Linked DNA regions of Elephas maximus indicus. The protein of the gene in region 2 interacts with the protein of the main gene of each other region in a biochemical or structural test. Links are inferred from orthologs where the notes say so. Each region holds a gene or a part of one and is shown on either strand. Other genes may lie near its edges.

The links.
Region 1: of the proteins of PRKCA (region 2) and HMGA1, one has a biochemical effect on the other in vitro, tested with the Homo sapiens proteins (2 studies listed by BioGRID). The link is inferred for Elephas maximus indicus from reciprocal best matches to the Homo sapiens genes PRKCA and HMGA1.

What each region holds. Positions count from the first base shown.
Region 1 is NC_064819.1:97,113,342-97,124,018, forward strand, and holds the start of HMGA1 (high mobility group protein HMG-I/HMG-Y), read left to right. Parts: upstream 1-5,963; 5' UTR 5,964-6,057; intron 6,058-6,290; 5' UTR 6,291-6,398; intron 6,399-9,754; 5' UTR 9,755-9,795; coding exon 9,796-9,930; intron 9,931-10,677. UniProt on the Homo sapiens protein: HMG-I/Y bind preferentially to the minor groove of A+T rich regions in double-stranded DNA. It is suggested that these proteins could function in nucleosome phasing and in the 3'-end processing of mRNA transcripts.
Region 2 is NC_064837.1:57,573,596-57,584,473, forward strand, and holds the start of PRKCA (protein kinase C alpha type), read right to left. Parts: upstream 4,336-10,878; 5' UTR 4,274-4,335; coding exon 4,101-4,273; intron 1,270-4,100; coding exon 1,238-1,269; intron 1-1,237. UniProt on the Homo sapiens protein: Calcium-activated, phospholipid- and diacylglycerol (DAG)-dependent serine/threonine-protein kinase that is involved in positive and negative regulation of cell proliferation, apoptosis, differentiation, migration and adhesion, tumorigenesis, cardiac hypertrophy, angiogenesis, platelet function and inflammation, by directly phosphorylating targets such as RAF1, BCL2, CSPG4, TNNT2/CTNT, or activating signaling cascade involving MAPK1/3 (ERK1/2) and RAP1GAP.

The DNA.
Region 1 (10,677 bases), on a different chromosome or scaffold from region 2:
CAAATCTGTCTTAGAAGAAGTACAACCAGAATGCTCCTTAGAAGCAAGGATGGCGAGACTACGTCTTACATACTTTGGACATGTTGTCAGGAGGGATCAGTCCAAGGAGAAGGACATCATGCTTGGCAGAGTACAGGGTCAGCGGAAAAGAGGAAGACCCTCAACGAGGTAGATTGACACAGTGGCTGCAACAATGAGCTCAAGCATAACAACGATTGTGAGGATGGCCCAGGACCGGGCAGTGTTTTGTTTTGTTGTGCGGAGGGTTGCTATGAGTCAGAAGCGACTCGACGGCAGCTAACAACAACAACAACAACAACAACAACAACAAGGAGATGGAAGCACTTAGGGGATTTTGAACAGAGGAGGAATGTGACTTACATTTTAGATAGAAAGAGATTTAATACCCGGAATTTAGTGCTTACAAAACCACTGAAAGATCTGGCTCCAGGCTGGGCCTCCTGGAACAACATGATCAAGTGAGCCACCTCTGCCCTAATCAGGGGGTGGGGAATCAGGAGGCCCCACCAGAATGGCTGGGCCTAGATCCAGAGGCAGGAAGCCCTGCTGCCACCATAGCTGCCTCTTGACCCCTCCAAAGCTGGTAACTGGACACTGGATAAGCTGTAGAAAAACCTCCCATCTTCACAACCCAGGTAGCAAGCTTTCCCTCACTTCCTCTTTTCAAATCTCTCTTTCTTTGGTGGGATCTCATTCACATTCAAAACTCTAGCTTTGAAGGAGTGTGGGGAATGGCGTTGAATGTCAGTTCACCCCATCACAGGCTAAAACCCATCCCCCAGGCCAGACTGCCTGATGCCCCTATCTGCCCGCTTCCAAGGCCTCCTGGGTTGCTCTAAGCATTCCCTGGACCCTGCCCTGTGCTTCCCTAGGCCCCCATCACATCATGTACCACACTGGTAAAATTGCCTGTTTACCTGTCCATCTCCTTCTCCACCTAATGTAAGCCCCTTGAGGATGTGAAATGTATTTATCTAGTTCAAGGCGACCTTCCCAGGATCTATCATGAGGCCTGGGGGATCCATCTGACCAGACTGGGAGAAGGCAGCAAAGCTACCCAGCCCAGGAGTAGGGGCAACTAAGGGGAAAGAGGCAGAATCTCAAGCTATTTAACCTCCCCAGCCTCAGTTTCAGCACCTGTAAAATGGGGGCAATAACACTACTGATCTGGTAGGTTTGTGGAGAGAACTGAGAAAACATAAGCATTTAGTATGGGCTCATCAACTCCTCCTTCCCCCCAGGTTTTATTTCAGGTTATAAAGGAGCTGGGCTTTCCTGGTAACCCAGTCCTCAATAATGCCATAAAGTCCATGGTGTCCCGAGGCCATGGGTGGGCCAGCCACTGGCTCACAGGAAGGGGGCAGAGAGGTGCTGCCTCCCAGGCCCTCCTTTTCACTTGGGAGTTTTTCCCTCGAAAGTTGGAACCAGAAGAGGCCCTCCTTCCACTCTAGGCCTGCCAGGCTTGCTGGCAGAAGAGCTTGTGGTCAGCAGGGTCTGGAGGCCTGATCCTGCCAGATGACCAGATGCACTAGTAGCTAGATGACTCTTGAGGATAGTGGTCAGAGACTGTGTAGCAGGGACCTTTGACCAAGCTGGATCCTATATCCTGAGTCCGCCCAGGTTGACATGGGCCGGTCAGGTTTATGCTGTTCTCTGGTCATAATTATTAATAGTGTTCCCTCTTACTCTCAGGTGTCCTGTTTGCCCACTAAAGCTAAACATACCTATACTATGATCCAGGAATTCTTCTAGGTACGTACACAACAGAAATGGACGCCTTTGCTTATCAAGACATATTCTAGAATGTTCCTAAAACCAAAACCAAGCCTGTTGTCATTGAGTCCATTCTGACACACAGTGACCCTAGAGGACAGAATAGAACTGTCCCATAGGGTTTCCAAGGAGTGCCTGGTGAATTCAAACTGCCAACCTTTGGGTTAGCAACCGAACTCTGAACCACTACAGCCACCAGGGTTTTCAGGATGTTCACAGCAGCAGTAACTGTATTAGCTCCAAACAGGGAAAAACCCAAATATCCTTCAAGAGGATGGATAAATAAATTGTTGTTCATTCATACCATATTAACTACACAGCAACGAGAATGAACAGTCTACAGCCACACAATAACATGGATGAATCTCACAGACATTAGGCTGAGCGAAAGAAACCAACCTGGGAGAATACATACTGTATGATTCCATTCATATAATGTACATAGACAAAACTAAACAATGCTGTTAGAAGTTGGGATAGTGGTTACACAAGGCAGCCGGCAACTGCTTCTTGATCTGGGTGCTGGTCACACAATGTTCACCCAGTGAAAATTTGAGCTGAACACTTAGGATTTATGCATTTTCTGTACGTATGTTATTTGTCAGTAATAAGTTTACTTTTAAAACTGCCCTGGTTTGGACAATTTATAGAGTTTGTAGTCACCCAATGATACTCAGCAATTCCTGATTCTCTCCCCCTTCCCATCCACCTTCCATGCTGGGCTGGATACCCCATGCCATACATAGTCACACCCCCACCCCCTCCATTTGGAAAACCTTAAATAACCCAATCACTAACCATCCACACGGGTCTTTCCTCCTACTCTTCTAAAAACAGCAGTTGACTGAGAAGCAAGAGGTAAAATGATAAGCAAGAGGTAAAATGATAAGCAAACATGCTGACTAGAGAGATGGGAGGAAAGAAAACTTGAATCCCCAGGGAATGCTAAGAACACCCAAACTACCACATTTGCATTTCCAAACCAGGACTGAGAGATTGTCAGGGAAAGAACTAACACACTTCAGGAAGAATTTCAATAGCTCAGGGGGAAATGACCTTAACTTTTAGCTGTCCTGAAAAGTTAAGGTTACCCAACACCCCATTACCTGGATACTCCTTTTGGGTTCATTGATGTTCATTGAGCTATACTTGCGGAAACTGTTATTACCTGAATCTGATCATTGGGAAATTCGTCTTGTGGCAAAGACTGGGTCTAATACCAACCAACTCCTCCAGGTTCCCTCAGATCTTGGCCAACCTGGTTGACGTTATGGTTAGACTCAGGCCTAGAATAGCTTCTTCTCCCTGGTCCCCACTGTTTCCCACCTATCCAAATCCCATCACGGGCTGCTCAAGCCCATCTCCTCCAGGAGACTTCCTTGACCAACCACCTCAGGTTCTCAATCTCTTACCTCTGACCTCCTTTAGCATCGACCAAGGCTCTCCTTAAGCATTCCACCCCTCAATCTAAGTTTCAAGAATGCAGGGAACTTTGCTTTATTTACTAATTGTACCCCAAGAGTTTGGGCCAGTTCCTGGCATGGAGTAGGCCCTCAGTGAATACTGAATGAATGCTTTTTGCCTCATGGCATCTCCTGGATTATGATTCAGCTTTCTCTTGGACATTCCTGGTCAAGATTCCCCTAGACAGGAAATTTGCTGGGACAGGGATTGTCTTCTTCATCTTTTTACCCCCACTACTCATCCCTCTTTGAGATACCTATTGAAAGAGGAAAAGTACAGAGTGTGAATTCGGAACATTTGTAATCTAGAAAGCATTTAGGTGCGGGTCAGTGGGTAGAGAATTATTTGGATTTCAAGGTGTGGGTAATCCTGGAGGGGACCAGCTTACTGTATTTGCCTACATCTTTATTTATACCTGCCTCCTTCCAGAGAGGGTTTGAGGTGAATTACAAAAATACACACAATGCAAGGTTAAAAAAAAAAAAGTAAATGAGGAAATCAGGACGAGGGGGAAAATAAGAGTAGGAAAAACATCAAATTGGCTTGCTAGAAGTGGGCCAAATAGTTGGCCGAGTTTTCCCACAGCCCACTTGGGAAGTCCCTCTCCCGCCTTTATCGCCCTCTCTGGGAAGGCACCCCTGAGGTTAGGTGCGTCCAGGCGAGGGGGCTAACAAGACCATCCCCGTGCCTTCCTGACGGCCAGCCCCAGAACCTCGTACAAGAAGCCCAGACAGCCGTGGGGAGGGCTGGCCTTGGGCAGGGTTGCATATAGGGGCGTGGGGCTCTGGGGGGGATGGCCCAGACGTGGGGGACCGGGTTGCTAGCAGGGGCCTGTGATCTGGGGGTGGACGAGTAGGCGCTGAAGACGCGTCCCTCCACTCAATGCTGCAAAGGCTCCAGAGCGCGCCACTCAGTGCCCTCCAACCAACTCTTCTCGCGGCCTACTAAGCGCGCGCGCCATGCTCAGGACACAAAGATGGAGGGAGCCGCGCGCTTCACCCCGCCCCACCCCCACCAACCGGCTCCAGACAAAGGGGCAGGCCGCCCCTCCCCCAGCCTCTCCCTCTCTTCCCCCTCCTCCCTTCTCTCCCCTCCCCTCGGGCGCCCTTCGGTGACTTCCTCTCCCCTTCTGGGGCGGCCTCAGGACTTCTCAGGAACTGCCTTTCACCTGGGCGCAGGGCGGGGAACCAGCGCGCGGAGCGCGGCCTTCGGGCCCACCCCCGGCCTGGGCAGGCCCCAGGCCCGCGCCCTCCCCTTTGAACCCGCTCTCTCAGCCCCCGGCGCCTTCCCGCCTAGGCGCCCCCACCCCCACCCGGCCGAGCACGTGCTGCCCCGGGCCCAGAGCGCCATCCCGCTGCCCTGGGGTGGGGGCTGGGCCCACTCCCGGCTCTGTTCCCCACCCCCACCGGAAACATTCCTGAAACATTCCTGAAACTAGGAGGCCCGGCCCCTCCAGCTCCCCACCCCGCCTCCACTCCGGGTTCAGGGTTTTCCTAGCGTCCCCCTCCACCGCCCGATCGCCTCCTGAGGAGGGGGCTGGGCCGGGGCCTCGGCTGACCGGGGAGGAGAAGGGGAGCAAAGAAAAACATGAGTCACAGCCGCCGTGTGTCACTGGACCACATTGCAATTCCCTGCATCACGGGAGGTGTGGAAGGCCGCCTCAGGGCCCAAGGGCGGGGAGGTGCGCCCAAGAAGGCCCCGGGCCCCGGCCTGCAGGGCGCGCCGCTCCGACTGCGCCTTTTCTTCCCCCACCGCCTTCCCCGCCATCTTTCCACTTTGGCTTCCTTCTCGTTTGTGCAACAAGTTTTTGTTGAGTCAGGCGCCGGGCGGCCCAGGCGTGGCGGGTGTGGCGTGCGTAAAACTCAGCCCCTGCCCTCAAAGAGCTTCCAGGGGATCCCTTGCCCACGCTTTCTTATTTAGAAAAAAAATCACAGCAGAGGGCCAGGTCACAAACTGGGACCGCATGTCCCAAAACACCACCCACGTCACCTAAAAGAAGGACTCCTCGGATTGACTTGCGAACGAGTCAATCGTTTCTTTCGCTTGAAGGCTGCACCTTGATTATGGCTCACCCGTGGCCATTAATTAAAACTCTTTGAATTTCACAAGTTTCACAAGACTTGTATTTCACCAGCCAGCCACACGCGGGTTGACACTGAAATGCACATGCCGACACCTGTCCGCCCAGGGGAGATCTATGAGCAGCGTATCTGGGCGAAGGGGGCGGAGGATAGGCCGCGGAATTCTCTGAACAGGTTCGCGTCTCTCCACTCTCACGCCGCGTGGACCCCGCAGGCACGAACGCCCACCGGTGCGTGGAGAGGGAAGACCCACATGCCCAGAAGGTCCCAAGAGGTGACTAGCCTGGGGACCCCACTTTGGGCAGAAAGGCCGCCCTCCCCCTCGCATAAAGCTGCTTCCTGATTTCTCTGCGCTCCTTGCCAGTTCTCTCAGGCCGAGAGTGTGACGAGTGGGCCATAGCCTCGGGTTCCCAGCCCAGGCCTCCCGCGCACTCGCCTCCCGCGCACTCGCTCCCCCCCACCCCGACGTCAGGAACCGCGGGCCCCTCCCCGCCGTCAGCACCCACCCGAGCGGTGGCGGCTGGCGGGCGGCCGCCCTTTTAAATCCCCGGGCTCATTTGCATGGCCCCGCCCCCTTAGTGACACGGCTGGCGCGGGCGGGCCCGTCCCCCCTGCCCCTGGGTCGCTCTTTTTAAGCTCCCCTGAGCCGGGGCTGCGCTCCTCTAATTGGGACTCCTAGCCCGGGCTATTTCTGGCGCTGGCGCGGCTCCAAGAAGGCGTGAGTTCGCGGCCGCTCCGGTGGCTTCCTTTTTTTTATATCTATAATTTAATTAAATTATTTATTTATTGAGGCCGCGCACGGGCCGTGCCCAGCTTCCTGCCCCTCGCCATCCTTCGGGGAGGGGGAATAGCCCCCCTCTGGATGTGGCATATAAATACCCCGCGGGGGCCTGGGCGGCGGGCACGCGGCGGCGGCAGGCTCTGAGCACCTCTGCTCTCTCCTGGTTTCAGATCCGCATTCGCTACCAGCGGCGGCGGAGCCAGGCCGGTCCTCAGCGCCCAGCACCGCCGCTCCCGGCAGCCCCGAGCGCGCACCGCAGGCCGGCGGCCGAGCTCGCGGTGAGTCGTCCCCGGGGGCCGCGGCGGCGGCGGCGGCGGCTGGGGGCGCCCGCGCCCCCGCCTGCTCGCCGCCCCTTCTGCCAGCCGCCCGGGGCTGCAGCGCGCGCCGCCGGCTTTATTCCCAGGCCGGGGCAGCGCGAGTCGCCGGCGGGGGAGGGCCGCGCGGCGCGGGGGCGGGCGGCAGGGCCTGGCGGCGCGGGGTGGGCGCCCGCACCCCTTCCCCCGTACCGCGGGCGCACCGCGGGGGGTGGGGACCCGGGAAAAGCGCGCGGTGGGGGAGGGGGCGCGCGGCTGCAGCGAGCGCGAGTTGTGCACCCGGCAGAGCCGGGTGCACCTCGCGCGGCGGCCGCTCTCGCCAGAGCCTGGGCGAGAAGGTGGAGAGAGTAGCAGGCTGCGGCGCCGCGGGAGAGTGGGGGGTGGGTCGGGCGCCCCCCGCAGCCTGGGGAAGTTCTAGAAGTGAGGGGGATGGGCAAGCACCCCGCAATTCGCCCTTAACTGTCCTCGGCCTTTTTCCTGGTCCCTCCTCCGCTGATGAGGCCGGATCGTGGGCCTGGGTTTGGGGCTTCACCCTGACCCCACCTCTGGCCTGGCCCGCTCCTCTTCAGCCCCCAGGGCCGGGCCTGCCCTCCGCCCCCACAAACTGGTTTCTCTGCTTTGCTGGGCTCTGTTGGAACTAGTCCCTATGATTCCCCGTTTCTATTTTTTGGGGGGGTTTTATTTTGCGGGGAGGGCACGGAGGGAGGTGGCTTTCTTCCTCTCTCCTGCGCCCGCGCGCGCCAGGTTTCCTGCCCCAAGGCGGGCTTGGGTGCCCCCTCTGGCAGGAAGTGGGGCCGGGTGCACCCGCGTGGCGGTGCATGCGGTCAGGGTGCGCCGGTTTCCCGCGCCTGCAGGAACGGCTTGCGCCCCTCCCCCCGCTCGCCCCGGCCCCTAGTCCCGCCGTCTGGCCTGCAACGGTCGGGTACAAACACTTGCAGAGTCACTCGGGGTAGTAGTCTGGAGCAGGGGGCTACAGGGACATAACCAGCCTCCAGGTGGGGAAGAAAAGTGTGGCGGGCTGGAGGGATCGCCAGGTACCTACTCCAACCTATGCTCGACAACTTGCTGTGTGACCTTGGGCAACTCATCAAGCCTCTCTGGGCTACTTCTTCTTTGGAAAACAAGGAAAGGGGGCTCCCAAGATGATTCCTAGGGCCATTTTTGCAGGCTCCCTAAGCGTTTGTGGAGCACACGTTGCATACACAGTGTAGGTAGGGGACATGCTTGAGGCCCAAGCAGGCTTATTACTAATGGAGGGATTGAGGTTGGGCCCTAAATGTGGCTTCTCCAAGCCAGGCCTTCCTGATGTTTAGAAACAGGTGGAAGAGACAGGCATTTCTTGGCTTCTCTAGAGAAGGCCTCAGGCTTTCATTCAGGTTCTGGGGGCCTGGTTGGGCGTGGGGAGGAAGGACGGGTGGATTAAAGGGTCCTAGTAGCAAGAGGTTGGGGGCCGCATGGTATAAGAGCTTCCAAGGAGACCGGCCAGGATCTTCAGGCTCTCTGGGATTCAGGGCTGACTTCGCTCAACTGGAACCCCCTCTGTTAGGGGGACCTGGCAAACCTCATGTGAGGTCAGCCCTCATTTAGCTGATTAATTTTGATGTTTAGTTTTTAAGGGAGACCTGTGGTGTAATATAAGATTCTAATCACTGCCTGTAATTACAGAGCAGGCCAAGCCGCTAATGATGGAGCAGGATAAATCACCAACCACCTTGTTTAAAAGGGTCTCCAAGTCTGAAATATTGTAAAATAGAATAATTATCAGACAAAGTCCCGCTGTCTGGAGGGCCTCTTTATGCTTGAGGATGGGGGCCTCGGCCCTCCAAAAATCACAAGTTTACCGGAATGTCTTTTTTTTTCCATTGGGTTAAAATTGGAAAATGCTTAAAGATCTGAAAAGGGGGAAGAAAAGTTGTTTTCAAATGTTCTAGTTCTCATTTTGACTGGAGCCAAGATTCCCCCTGCTATTTCTTAGAAAATGAAGGTTGAGCACATCTTACATGTATGTAGCGCAATTTAAAGTATCTTTTTTTAACTTATTTAATTTGATCTTCATAGCAATACGCAGAGTTAGTTGGCTCAGGTCACTTATTATTACATCCATTTTACAGATGGAGAGATTTCAGAAGCAGAGGCACTTGGGGCCACCCTTTGCCCAAGGCAGATAGGGACTGGTTGGTTACTGGGGGAGAAGTGTAGAGCCATAGGCCTCCTAGATCATCTCTGTTTCCTATCGGTAACTGGGAGGACAGGGGTGGAGATGTGGGGAACCCTCACAGTCCTCTTTAAGCCTCTGGAAGAGGGTCTCAAATACAGGATGCAGACTCAACTGGCAGTGGGTGATTTTAGGCAAACTCAGACTTAGTGGGGCGGCTTAAACTCAAACAGGCCTCTGAGAAGACTGAAAGTGCCAGGAAAGGACCAAGAAGGTTTGGGAATCAGCCCTGCTAGGACTCTTGGGGTTAGGGTCTGTCAGAAAGGTCAGAGGTAGAAACCCGTGCTTCTAGTAAGTAAGGGTCAAAGAGAAAAATGCCATCTGACTCTAGGTATGGGGTCCCAGCAGGGGAGAGTAGGAGCCTGCCGTTCAACTTGGGGCTACTTTTCCACCCCTTCCTCACCCACTGGAGTTTTAGCCATTTCCCTGTCTTCTGTACTGTTTCCAAATTGTCTCCATCTTTGAATCCTGGTGGGGGGGAGGGTGGTGGGGATAGAGAAACCTGCTGGGGTAGGCACCAACCCTGGCCATGTGATTGGCTGAGTGTCAAGGTTGGACCTTTTTACTGTGGTCCTGAGTCTTAGACCTTGCCAGATGGGCAATATTGTCAGTGGAGTGGACAGGGGCTTGATACAAATGTGTGGTTGAGTGGCTACATGGTCGCCAGATCCCTGGGTCTCATTCCTTCCATTTACCTTTCCTTCCATGTCCCAGGACCTTAGTTTTCTCTCAAAAGAGAAGGAGGGGGCAGCTGCTGGTTATAAAGGGAGAGGACCCAGGCAGGCTGTTGGACCCACACCTTTGTCCAGGGGTAGCTTTAGTCACATAGCCAGGTCTGTGGGCTGGCTGTGCCTTATGGGCCCAGGGCCTGTGGGGGTGGCAGTATTGGGGTAGGACAAAGGACTCTTCTAAACAGGAGATAAGGAGCTGATTAGGGCCAACGGCCCTGCCCCGCCTTGTGGCAGCATGCTGGGGGTGGGCAGACCCTTTTGTCCTGGTTAGGTGGGTACGCCTGGGAGCAGGCAGAGTTCCCGTGGTGTGCCTTGGTGATGAGAAGCAGGTGAAGGGAGATGCTTTGTTTAAAACAGTTTCTTCTGCCTCCCAGCATCCTAGCCATCGCTTCATCTGCTCTGTAGAGAAGGGAAGATGAGCGAATCGAGCTCGAAGTCCAGCCAGCCCTTGGCCTCCAAGCAGGAAAAGGACGGCACTGAGAAGCGGGGGCGGGGCAGGCCACGCAAGCAGCCTCCGGTGAGTCCTGGGACCGCGCTGGTAGGGAGTCAGGTGGGTGTCTGAACCTTTGCTTTGCTCTACTCCTTTTGGCTAGGGATGTGCCAGTGTGTCAGAACAGGCGGAAATGGGAATGGAGGGTGCAGAGCCATTCCTGGCCCTCGCGTGCACATACCCTACACACATCCTGACTCTGGCCAAAGCCTCTGAGAGCCCAGGAGAGAACTGGGGGCTGAGGGACGCAAGGTGAGTTCTGAAGCCCGTGCCAGAAAGTCCAAGCCAGAAGGGACCCAGGGGTCATCTAGACCAGTGTTTGTATCATGGTAAAAATGAAATTCTTCCGTCTATCATAGACTGCTACTTTTGTAAAATATGATAAAAACAAACTAATTGAAAAATGGAAAAAAAAAATAACGTGCAAGTCTAGGATTATTTATCATTTGATCCAGTGCACAAAAAAATACTTCTCAATTTGCTATAGAAGTTTTTAAGTACTTACTGTTAATTTTTGTACTTCCTGGGTTGCACCTGTTTATAGTCTACACAAGTAGGGCTGGGCTCTGTAAAGGGAATTGAGGCCCAAGAAGTTGAGTAATGCTGGGGAGTTGGTTTAGAGGGACCCTCAGAACCTTGGTGCTGCTGCCTAAAAGGTCCTACAGGGGTGAGAATGCCAGCTGGCATTGTGAGGCACCCTAGGGAGCTGGGCCAAGCCAGGGCCTTGGAAGGGGGCACCTGTTATGTGGTGGAGATCTTGGCTTCTCTCACAGGTGGCTTTGGCCCAAACAAGAGGCAGCTGTTGGT
Region 2 (10,878 bases):
AACTTTGAGAACTGGAAAGAGCTGTGTCTTCCTTTTATCTTTTAAAGAAAGGCTGGTGCAATACACCTTTCTCTTACTATTCTCTTTTTTATAAGACTACCCTTGATTTCCAAATACAACTCTCAGAATGATTTATTCTATGGGGCTTTAAGCACTCTATATAAACATCTTGATGTAAGAAAGGTAGACTATTAATGAATAAGCACACCATAAAACAGCCCCGCCTAAAATACATTTAGAAGACGTATATAAGACAAGTTCACTCATTTAAAGCAGTTTTTAAAGGGTAACCAAATTACTACCACAATTTTAAAGTTGTAAAAAAGTACACATAGTGCCTTCTCTCTTTCTCTCCTTCATGTGCTTAACATTACACAGTATTAGGACAATATTTTCCAGGCTAGAATGTATTTTTCACTTGCCCTAATAATAAGCCTATGCCCAGATGGGAAATGCAACCAGAACTGAATAAACACAATATAGACGATGAACAGGAGAGCCAGAAGATGGGCTAATGAATCTGGGATGCCTACACAAGCTTGAAAGCATTAAGAAATTAAACAAAATGAATAGAAAGTATGAAAAGTTAAATACTGGATGGGTGGGAAATGCAACTACAGATCAGGGGAGAGGGTGGAGTGGATTTCTTTTTTCAGGCAACAGATAGCATCGAACATGTTGTCAGATATCTAAGCTAAAGGAAAAGTGTGCCACACGGTAATACTGCAGGAATCAATCACTGAATTATCCATATACCTTTAAAACATGCCAACTTTGTTCTGGATGACAATCGGTAACCTACAGAAACAAAAACTTACTAAAATAATGTATGGCCCAAAATGAACCGCAATGAGTCCAACCCAAAGTATAGGTAAAACAGATGAACAAAAACAAAAGAGGAAGAACAAGAAAGAAAAGCCACATGAATACAAAGTGATTCCATTTTTTTCTTAACACCCACACAAAGACAGCAGTTTCTGAGAGGAATGTTCTCTGCAAAAAAATAAAATTAAAGGAATTTTTTTTTTCAATGAGAAAAAGACAGCTCTATATGCAGATTACTAGGCAAGACCATATGATTTTTTAAAGTCCCAAATGTACAGCCTTCATATTTCAAAAATCTTATCTAAATAACATATGTTTTGGGTCACGAAGAAAAGATGACTTAAAATATCATTCCTGTTTGGAATGCTTATTCATGTTGTATTTGAAAACAAATTCCAACATGGCAGCTTACCTTGGCACTGGAAGCCTTGTTTCCCAAACCCCCTGAAAAACAGAAACAAGAATAAAACATCTTAACATACTTCATGTGAGGCATATTTTAAGCAAGTTGTGTGGCAAATTATTCTATAAAGTTAAAAATTTGTCCACAACACCCAATGATTCAATAAGAAAAACACATGTAATATCGAATCAGATTACTGTATAAATTCAATTTAGGAAAAAAAAATCTACCTTGGCTGCAAAGGATCACTGAAATTCTTCAATTTATCAAGTTTCTTTCCAATTTTTTACGCTATGTAATCAGCAGTTACATTTCAACAAAGAATATCACTGTACATTCACATACTTGAATATTGGCTACAATATTCAAGTCACAAAAAGGAGTTTATGGGAAAGGAGGAAGTGGCTTAATTTTGTTCCTAAAGACCAACTAAAAATCTCTTCTTCTCCCTAATGACGATGAAAAAGTGGCTCCACTGTGTGTTAGGAGCTTGTTTAAAATAAGAAATTAGCAAACAGCATCACTCTTTCAACATTTAATTTTGCCTTAAGGAGCCATATTTTACAACAAAATAGCATTCCTATTACTTGCATTTGAGATGACCATGATCTAATTTTTACTGAGAACCAACAGCATTCAAAGCACACACAGAGACAATTTTGTTCTTGTAAGTTACTTCAGAGAATTTACTCTCTAAGGGGAGAACCCTGACATGGACATTAAACCGCAGACACCGTTCCACTAGAATGGACTGTATTACAATTTTTTCAGGAGGTTATTAGTCATAACCCCTTGCCTGACACAGCTTTTTAAGTTTACAAAGCACTTCACATACCTTTATAACCAACTTAGAGTCATCCCTCCAAAAAACATACCTAAATTCAAACGTTTAACTTTAAAATGTCAGTGCTTTAAGATTTAAGGGCCCATAGAAGCAATACTGAAAGAAAACGGAAAAATTAAAGCCACTGCTGAACAATTCCAGCAGATGTTTTCCTGGAACCTCCAAGTGGTTGCTTTACAATTAAGTGGAGACATACAGAGATTATTCAGGGAGGGAGAATAAGGAGAGATCGTTATCTTCCACTTTGCAACACACCTGGTGACCTGGCCAGCCACATCGATTCTCAAGGGCCTGATCCCTCCAGACAACTGATAGTGGAAAGACATTAGCTGGCCTGGGTAGGCTGCAAGTCACTTTTCTAACTTACTTAATTCCTGCAAAAGTAATCAACAGTCTGAGATAACTGTTCTCTTTTAACGGAATCTCACAGTCAAGAGAGGCCAAAGACCTCGCCTTAACTAAACGCAATGGCTTCTCTTTGCCCTGATGCTCCAAAAAGTTATTTTAAAAAGCCTTATCTACAATTACCTACTCTCTCAAGCACAACAGCTTCATATGCTGACTACCCCGGTGGAAAGCATTTACAGAGGTAGCTGTGCTTTTCATAAAAGTATACATTTGAGCTGATTTCTAAAAAGGAAGGGAAAAATTAAGCACGGAATTACCACCACGTTCATGGAACACGCCCTTTGAGATGTTTTTCTCCAGGAGTGATGGATTCGGACAGAGCCCTTCATAAGTTCTCCCTAGTGTCCCAACAAGATAAATATGTACACCACACAGTGGGCTGGTGTCTGAACAGTCACCCAGTGCAACTCCACGGAGGATGAGAGGAGGGAGCTAAGGAGCCCTAGCCTACACCCACAAACAAGCAGTAGAAGCACTGTGTCTGGCAAACTAAGAGAAAACAAAACTACGGATCCCCAAACTGAAGAACCTGGAGTTCCTTCAGTTCTGGGTTTCTAGCCTTTTGGGGTGCCACAGACCTTTTGAAAACCAGATAAAGCTATAATTCTCTCACCTGAAAAAAAAAATGCACATACACAGTTTCACTTAGTTCTACAGGATTCAGAGGCCCCCCCCAACCCCCCTCCAGGCCCATCCACTTGTTAATTCCTCCCAAAGCCACAGGACCTTCAAGTTAAGAATACCTACTGTTCATTGGAAATGACCTGAACTTGGACACCTTGAGCGGTTACAGTATTTTTCTTAAATAAGGCCTCTGTCCTCATCAACAGGGTTACAGGTCCAATCTCGTGTCGACAGGGTCTATTTTAAATGACTCCCTCTGCCTTCTGCCATTTGCCGGCACTGTTTTAATTCCCCTTCCCCCATTGCAAGCTTTCAACAGTTTGCTGCCTCTCGACTTTCTCTCCGGGATCGCCTAGAAAAGTCAAAGTCTCTCCGTGCCCAGTAGATACCAGCTACAGTAGGCAGGGACTCAAGATTGCAGTAGAGTCCCAGGCCGATGGGAAGCACAAACACACACCCCCCGAACACACCCTGCCTGGCTCGCCAACAACTTGGATTGCGCGCAGCAATCGCCACGGCTCCCCGGTTACACTGGGGCGTGTTTCTCTGGGACACTCCGGCTCTCTGGATTTTCTTTTCTTCCCCTTTTGCTCACACCCCGCCAAAACCGCTGCCCCACGGTCTGAGGGCGGGGGGTTCTGGGGGGAGGCCACTGGCCCGGTGGAGGGGATCAATGTCACTGGCGCGCAGGGCCAGCCCTCCCTCCTGCGGCAGGGGGTGTGTGGCCGGACGGCGACTTCCCCGGGAGTCCGGCCCGCGTGTGTGTCAGTGGCCGGGACGGCCGGGCGCGCGCGAGTGTCATTCAGGGCAAGAGTTGGGACTCCCGCCGGCTCTCCAAGTTCCCCGAGCCAGTCAGCCCTGGGGTGGACGCGCCCGGACTGGGGGGCCCGAGAGCGGGTCCGCGGGAGACGGACTGGTCCCCAGCCCCAGGAGCCGCGAGCGGGTCCGGGGGTGCCCCGGAGGTGCCCGTCTTGAGCCCGGCCCGCGCGCACCTACCAGATGAAGTCGGTGCAGTGGCTGCAGAAGGTGGGCTGCTTGAAGAAGCGGGCGATGAATTTGTGGTCCTTCACCTCGTGCACGTTCTTCTGCCTCAGCGCCCCTTTGCGGGCGAACCGGTTGGCCACGTCCTGAGACGCCGTGGAGTCGTTGGCCGGGAAAACGTCAGCCATGGTCCCCCCCAACCACCTCTTGCCTCCGCCGGGGAGCAGCAGCGGGGAGGCCGGGGGGCGGGGGCGGGGGCGGGCGGGGGAGAGGCGCGGGGCCGCGGAGACCCCGGGTGGGGGGCGCGGGCCGGCGGCCGGGGTCGCGGTGGCGGCTGCGGCCGGGCGGCGGCCAGGGAGAGTCGGGCTGGAGCAGCGCGGAGCGGAGCCGGAGCCGGAGCCGGAGCCGGAGCCGCTCGCTCGCTGGCCGCTCGCTGGCCCCACGCTCACTGACAGCACAGCGCCCGGCGCTCGCGCTTCCTACTCTCGGCGGCAGAGGCGGCCTGAAGCGGCCCCGCCCACCGCGCATGCCCCGAGTGCGGGGGCCGCGCGTGCCCGTGTGGCCGCGGGCGTGGGGCGCGCGAGAGAGAGGGCGCGCGCAGGCTGGGGCGCGCGCGGGCCTGGGTGGCGGGCGCTGCGCGGCGCTGCGCTGGGAGGACGCGGGCGCAGCAGGACTCGGCGCCTCCGCGTTTTCGGAGCAGCCCGGAAAGGGGAGGCGGCGGCGGCCGGGGAGGGCCGGTCCGAATTTGGGAGCGGAGGAGGGATCCGGGAGGGGCGGGGCGGCTCTCCTCCACCGTCTTTTTCTTTGCCTACTCTTTCTCTCCTCCGGGCTCTCCACCCTCTCGTCTCCTACTCTCCTTCCGCTCCTCGCGCTGTGCCTTCTCCTCTCCTCATCTTCCTCCTCCCACGCTTCTGCTCATATCTCTCTGCTCCTCGGCCCGCGTTTTCTACTCTCTGGGGTCGGAGTTCTGCGCCAACCGCACGTGGAGGAAAGGAGCCCCGAGTCCCAGAAGGGGTCCCCGCACACCCCCCCCCCCCGCCCCGGGCTCTCGGTCCGACCCGCCTGGACGCTCACCTTCCCTCCTCCGGCATCACACACAAGGCAGGTGCCACTTCCCCATCTCCCGGTCCCACCGGTACTTCTAGGGCACGATGGCCCTGTTTATCAGCCAGTACTAGTTTGAGGTTTTATGTGGCTAAAATGCCCAACCCCTAGACCTTTACGTTTTGTGTATGTGGCAGGAGAAAGGTAGCAATCTTAAATCATTGAACATTGATCCTTTTACCTACCTTCAATTGTTGACCTGTATTTCACCCCCTTTTTTTTTTTTTCCATAGGTGACTCATATCTAATTTGTACGTCAGATATTATCACCACTCAGGACGGTTAAAGAACTCGTCCTCGGTATTTATCCCGTTATTCATTGCCTACTACAGCTACAAAATTGGTTATTAGTCTTTCCTGATTTTACAAGAGAGTCCAGAACTTTAGAAATAAGTTTGCATCCTAAAGTAATTACTGCAATACTGGCAGGTGTAGAGTGCAACCAGAATATTTGTAAATTACAAAAACCGCTGGTGAAAGGGTAGCGGGCATGGATATGAAAAAGGACGCAAGTGGGGGCGTACCAACTAATCACTCGCTGAATACTTATCCTGCCCTACCACCCCCCCCCCCAAAAAAGGATGCTAAAATACCTGAGGGAGACAAGCGCCTCCTATCCTTTCATTACTGGTTTATTTCACTGTCAGAGTCACTAAGTTCACAAAACAACTTCATGAATTGGAAACACCAGTTCAAGTGTCTTCAAGAAAGAGAATGTGGTGTTTAGGCCCCTAAGAGATTTTTTTTTTTTTTCTATGATAATGTACTGTTTTAGAGTATGTCACATAGACTAAGCAGGTCTGCCCATTTTTGAGATTGGTCAATTGTGATGCTTGATGATAAATAAGAATGTCTTTTATATTTTGAACAGTGTAAGCTAGTGACTGGCCATTTGAGGCACATGCACTTTGCTGACGCATTTACTTCTCTTGAGCCAACCCTGGTTGGTGCTTAAAGAGACTGCATTTGTTTGATATCCTGTCTGTTCAGAAATTCCTCTACTTATGGTGGCCCTTTAGTCTAAGGAAGCAAAAAAGGAAGAGGTCAGGAAAGGAATGAAGTGCAGGGCATGTCAGGAAACTAGATCAAATTCTCCACAAAACACTGTAAACTTCTTAAACCATGGTTGTTTATTGCTTAATAATCATTAATCAAATGCAGTACTGTAGAATGAGTCACCCAGTTTTTTCCTCTTTGTCTAAGACAATGGTCCTTACACATTTTATGAAGACAATTCTATTTCCCTGAAGCTTTGGTGCGAGGATTCGAGAAAAATAATGGGAGAGTTGGAGGGTGGGGTTGTGGATAGTGCAAACCCTGAGCAAAGTAATAGGGAAGAAGAGCTAAGGCCCGGCCCCGGCAGCTACCCCACCATCTCCTGTGTAAGGAGTAGAGTAATTGCTTTTAGTAGTCAGTAAGCCAGATGGAGACACGTGCCTCTTTCTTTTCAGGTTATGGCTTTGCTTTCTTGCCACAGTTATTACTATCGTTAGTCGTGGGTAAAGGAAGAAACGGCTACCTCAAGTCTGTTGATGGGTAGTGGGGCTGGGCATGAGTGCATCAATGCCTGTACCTTGCTCAGTTGGGGGGAGAGTGCACCTGGAGTAGGGAATTGCCAACCAGTGTCACACTACCTCTAACAAGGATTGGAAGGAGGCCTGCTGGCTCAAAGGTAAGTGCTTAGCTGCTAATAGAAAAGTTGCTAGTTTGACCCCACCCAGTGGCTCCATGGGAGAAAAACCTGGCAATGTGCCTAGAAAACCCTGTGGGGCAGTTCTGCTCTGTCACATAGGTCACTGTGAGTTGAAATCGACGCCACCTAACAACAACATCAGGGGCTGGTGGGATCTGGGTCGTGATTTGCCTTTGTGGCCCACCTGAGAAGTTCCCATGGAATCATTACAGTGGAGGGGATTACGGAAAGGAGACTCCTTGGGGTGGTGGTTGTCAATCTGTCCTGAGTGATAGTCATGTTTTAGAGTCTGCTGCTTCACGGGGAAGTTGCAGGAAAGAACAAGGAATGGTAGACTGAACACAGACTGTCAGAATTCTCCTGTCTCCCTTGCCTTTGAGGAGCCAGCTCTAGACTCTTTGGAGAGGCATCGCCTAGACCAAAACCAAACCAAACCCATTGCCACTGAGTCGATTCCAACTTATAGCGACCGTATAGGACAGAGTAGAACTGCCCCATAGGGTTTCCAATGAGTGGCTGGTAGATTTGAACTGCTGACCTTTTGGTTAGCGGCCAAATGCTTAACCACATGCACTACCAGGGGGACCCAAGATCTGGAGGTTAGGATCAAATCAGGGCACTAAACTGATGCTTCAGAACCAGATGGTTCACTTGAAACCAATAGGCTTTAAGTTTTAACTGTAAAACTTGCTGCTGTGTGCAAAAAACTGGCCTATTTTTAAGTGAACCAAGGCACCGGGCAATAGGAATTGCATAAGTGTAGGAAAAGCTCAATTTTGAGATTTATAGTAACCAAGAAGACTTAAAGGCTCACTTTATGGACTACGCACCGGATTTGTTTCTCATGTCCCTCGAAGAGCATCAAACAAAATCCAATTCATAATCCCGAACCAGACTTTTTAATCCCCTTTTCCTTTTCTTCTTCCAAAATACCGAGTCTCACCAACCGCACTCAGTAAGCTTTTCCAAAGCCCCCCAAAGATTCCCTCTTCTACCCACATTTAGACCCCCTTTTACCCTCTCTCCTCCCCTTTGTTATTTTTTGTATTCTTCATTATCTATTATACATCCTGTTACCATCAAATCGATTCCAACTCATAGCACCACTATAGGTCAGAGCAGAACTGCCCCATAGAGTTTCCAAGGCTGTAATCTTTACAGAAACAGACTGCCACTTCTTTCTCCTGCAAAGCAGCTACTGGGTTTGAACCACTGACCTTTCGGTTAGCAGCCAAGTGCTTAACCACTGCGCTACCAGGGCTCTTTGTATATTATGTATGTAAAAGTATATTATCTGTATAAATACGTATTGTATTTATATAAAGCTACGATGTATATTTTATACACTTAATTCCAACAAATCCTCCCTGCACATCTCCCTTCAGGATAAGGCCTTCTATACTCATTTTTTAATTTTGTACCACAAAATATCTAGGAACCAGTTTTAGACAGGGTAGCTTGGGATGAGTGTGAGCATCAGGGTAGCTGAGCAGAGAGTGAGGACTAAGCTGAAAATGACCAGGTTCTCATTCATTCATTCATTCAACAAACATTTTCTGAATTCCTGACAGTGTGCCAAATGCTGTGTTAGGTCCTGGGACTAAAATGTATTATATAGTGTGTACTGTATATTTTTCATCAAATAATATATACGTTTTTGACCAGTCAACCCTCTTGCATGTTATTTTCCTAAGTGCTCTGTGTGTTATATGTGTGTGGATGTGGACGCATTATTTATGTGGGTGCCTTATTTGTGGAAAAAATGCTGTACATTATATATTGGTCCAATGTTGAGCAAAACAGACATGTTGTTGTTGGTTGCAACCCCGTGTGCTACAGAGTAGAGCTGCTCCGTAGGGTTTCCTTGGCTGTAATCTTGATGGAAGCAGCTCACCAGGCCTTTTCTTCACAGTTATGCTGGCTGGGCTCAAACCGCCAACCTTTAGGTTAGCAGTCAAGCACAAACCGTTTGTGCCACCTAGGGACCTAGCCCCTGCTTTGTGTAATTTACATTCTCTTTGGTGACTGGAGTAGGAGAGGGAAGTTTGTGGACAATCACACCTAGTAAAACTTAGCCCATTATATACATTCACTTATATTTACTGTATATAATAGTAAATTAAATACACATGTACAGCTACCTTCAAAACTTTGATCCTAAGCTGGTGAAATGGACACGAAAAGAGAGAATGGAGGGAGAGAGCAGCCTGTCTTATTAGGGGGAGAGTAATTGGGAGTGTGTAGCAAGGTGTATAGGCGTTTTTGTGTGAGAGACTGACTTGATTTGTAAGCTTTCACTTAAAGCACAATAAAAATTATAAAAATTTACATTAAAAAAAAACTTTGATCCTGTTTTAGTTTGGATGTTTTTATGCTGTGTACAGTAATGTAGTAAATACAACTCAAATCCTGCCAATTGGCATCAGGCAAAGATTCAAGCAAAACTTGGAGAAGCAGCTCCAAAGGTCTGTCCAACAAAGCAGGCGACGTAGAATGCCAGCCTCCTGTTGGGTGAAGGTATCTGACGAGATTCAATGCAGTGATGACAACCTGGTTCTTTTGAATACACACTTAAATATGATTTGGCAAACTATACAATCTGCAGTTGTGTCTGTGCTTGGCATGGCTTTAGAAGTAGAATGGCAATACTTCCTAAAACCTTGGAATCCATTCAAATATCATTTAAATTTCTGTACAAGGTGTATCCCTAACAAATAGGAAGAGTATTCAGAAACACAATTTATCTACAAAATATTAATTGAGCAGTTATTAGGTGCCCAGGCAATCACTGTTCTAGTTGCTAGGGATGCAATGGTGAACAAAGCAGACAGTTTCAGTGGAGAGAGGTGACTGATGGGTATTTTGGAGTCTGAGACAGGGAGAATATAAAAAAAGCCTCAACTCGGCAGGCATAGTCATGAGAAAAGTCACTCTGGGGGCCACAGTTCCAAGGAGCATTCCCTTTCGGAATGTCTGGCGACAGCCTCAGCTAGGTAAGAAGGAAAAAAAAAAAATTTTTTTTTTTTTTTTAAGGTAACCTCAAATTGCACAGGGGTCTTCTGTGGGTAAGTGTCTTTAACTCAGGGAGGTTAAGAATTCAATGTACAGACGAGAAACTAAATTAGGCCAACTGTCTTTGGGGGCTAAGTTTAGAAACAATCTGCATGTGCCACAATGTTGAAGAGAATTTGGGTTTTGAACAGATAAGCTTTGTGATTCTAATATGAAACTAGTGAGCAAATAATGGATTGAGATCATGATATTAAGTTGAGATCTTACTGACTTTGTAAGCGGTATTGAAATGTGAGGAAATTTAAGATTCAACAGCGCTATAAGTTTAATTCCGTAGATTTATAAGACTCACTTAGGAAGTAAGTCTTAATAAGGGAAACTTTGCTGACAACTGACCATTTATGATTGTTTATGACTGTTTTCCTCAAACATCTTTAAAGTGATTTGTAAGATGGTAGTATGGTTTGTAAGCTGGACTTAAAAGCTGAAGGAGAAGCTAGATTTTAACATATGTAACTATAGTCCATTAAACATTAGTGCTAAAAATATAGGCTTCGTTTAGGGCAGTGAAAGCATTTTGTATATACTTATAACGGTGAATTATAGTATCATATGGAAATATTATATTGTGTAAGTCAAAACCCATTGAACTGTACAACACATAGAGTTACGTTAATGTAAACTGTGGACTTAAGTTCATAATAACATGTCAATATTGATTTATTAACGATAACATATGTACTTCACAAATGCAAGGTACAAATAATAGGGAAAGTGGGGTGGATGGGTGTCTTGGTATATGGGAGTTCTGTGCTATATGCTCAGTTCTTCTCTAAACCTAACAGTGTTCTAGAAAAAGTGGGAGAAAGAACAAAAGTTAAAAATATCCTTCTGAATATGTTTCTGGGCAAAACAAAAGGATGACAAAAGTCCCCCTGAGGAAAATAAAAACTCATTTGGACAGCAATTTTGTCATATACCCAT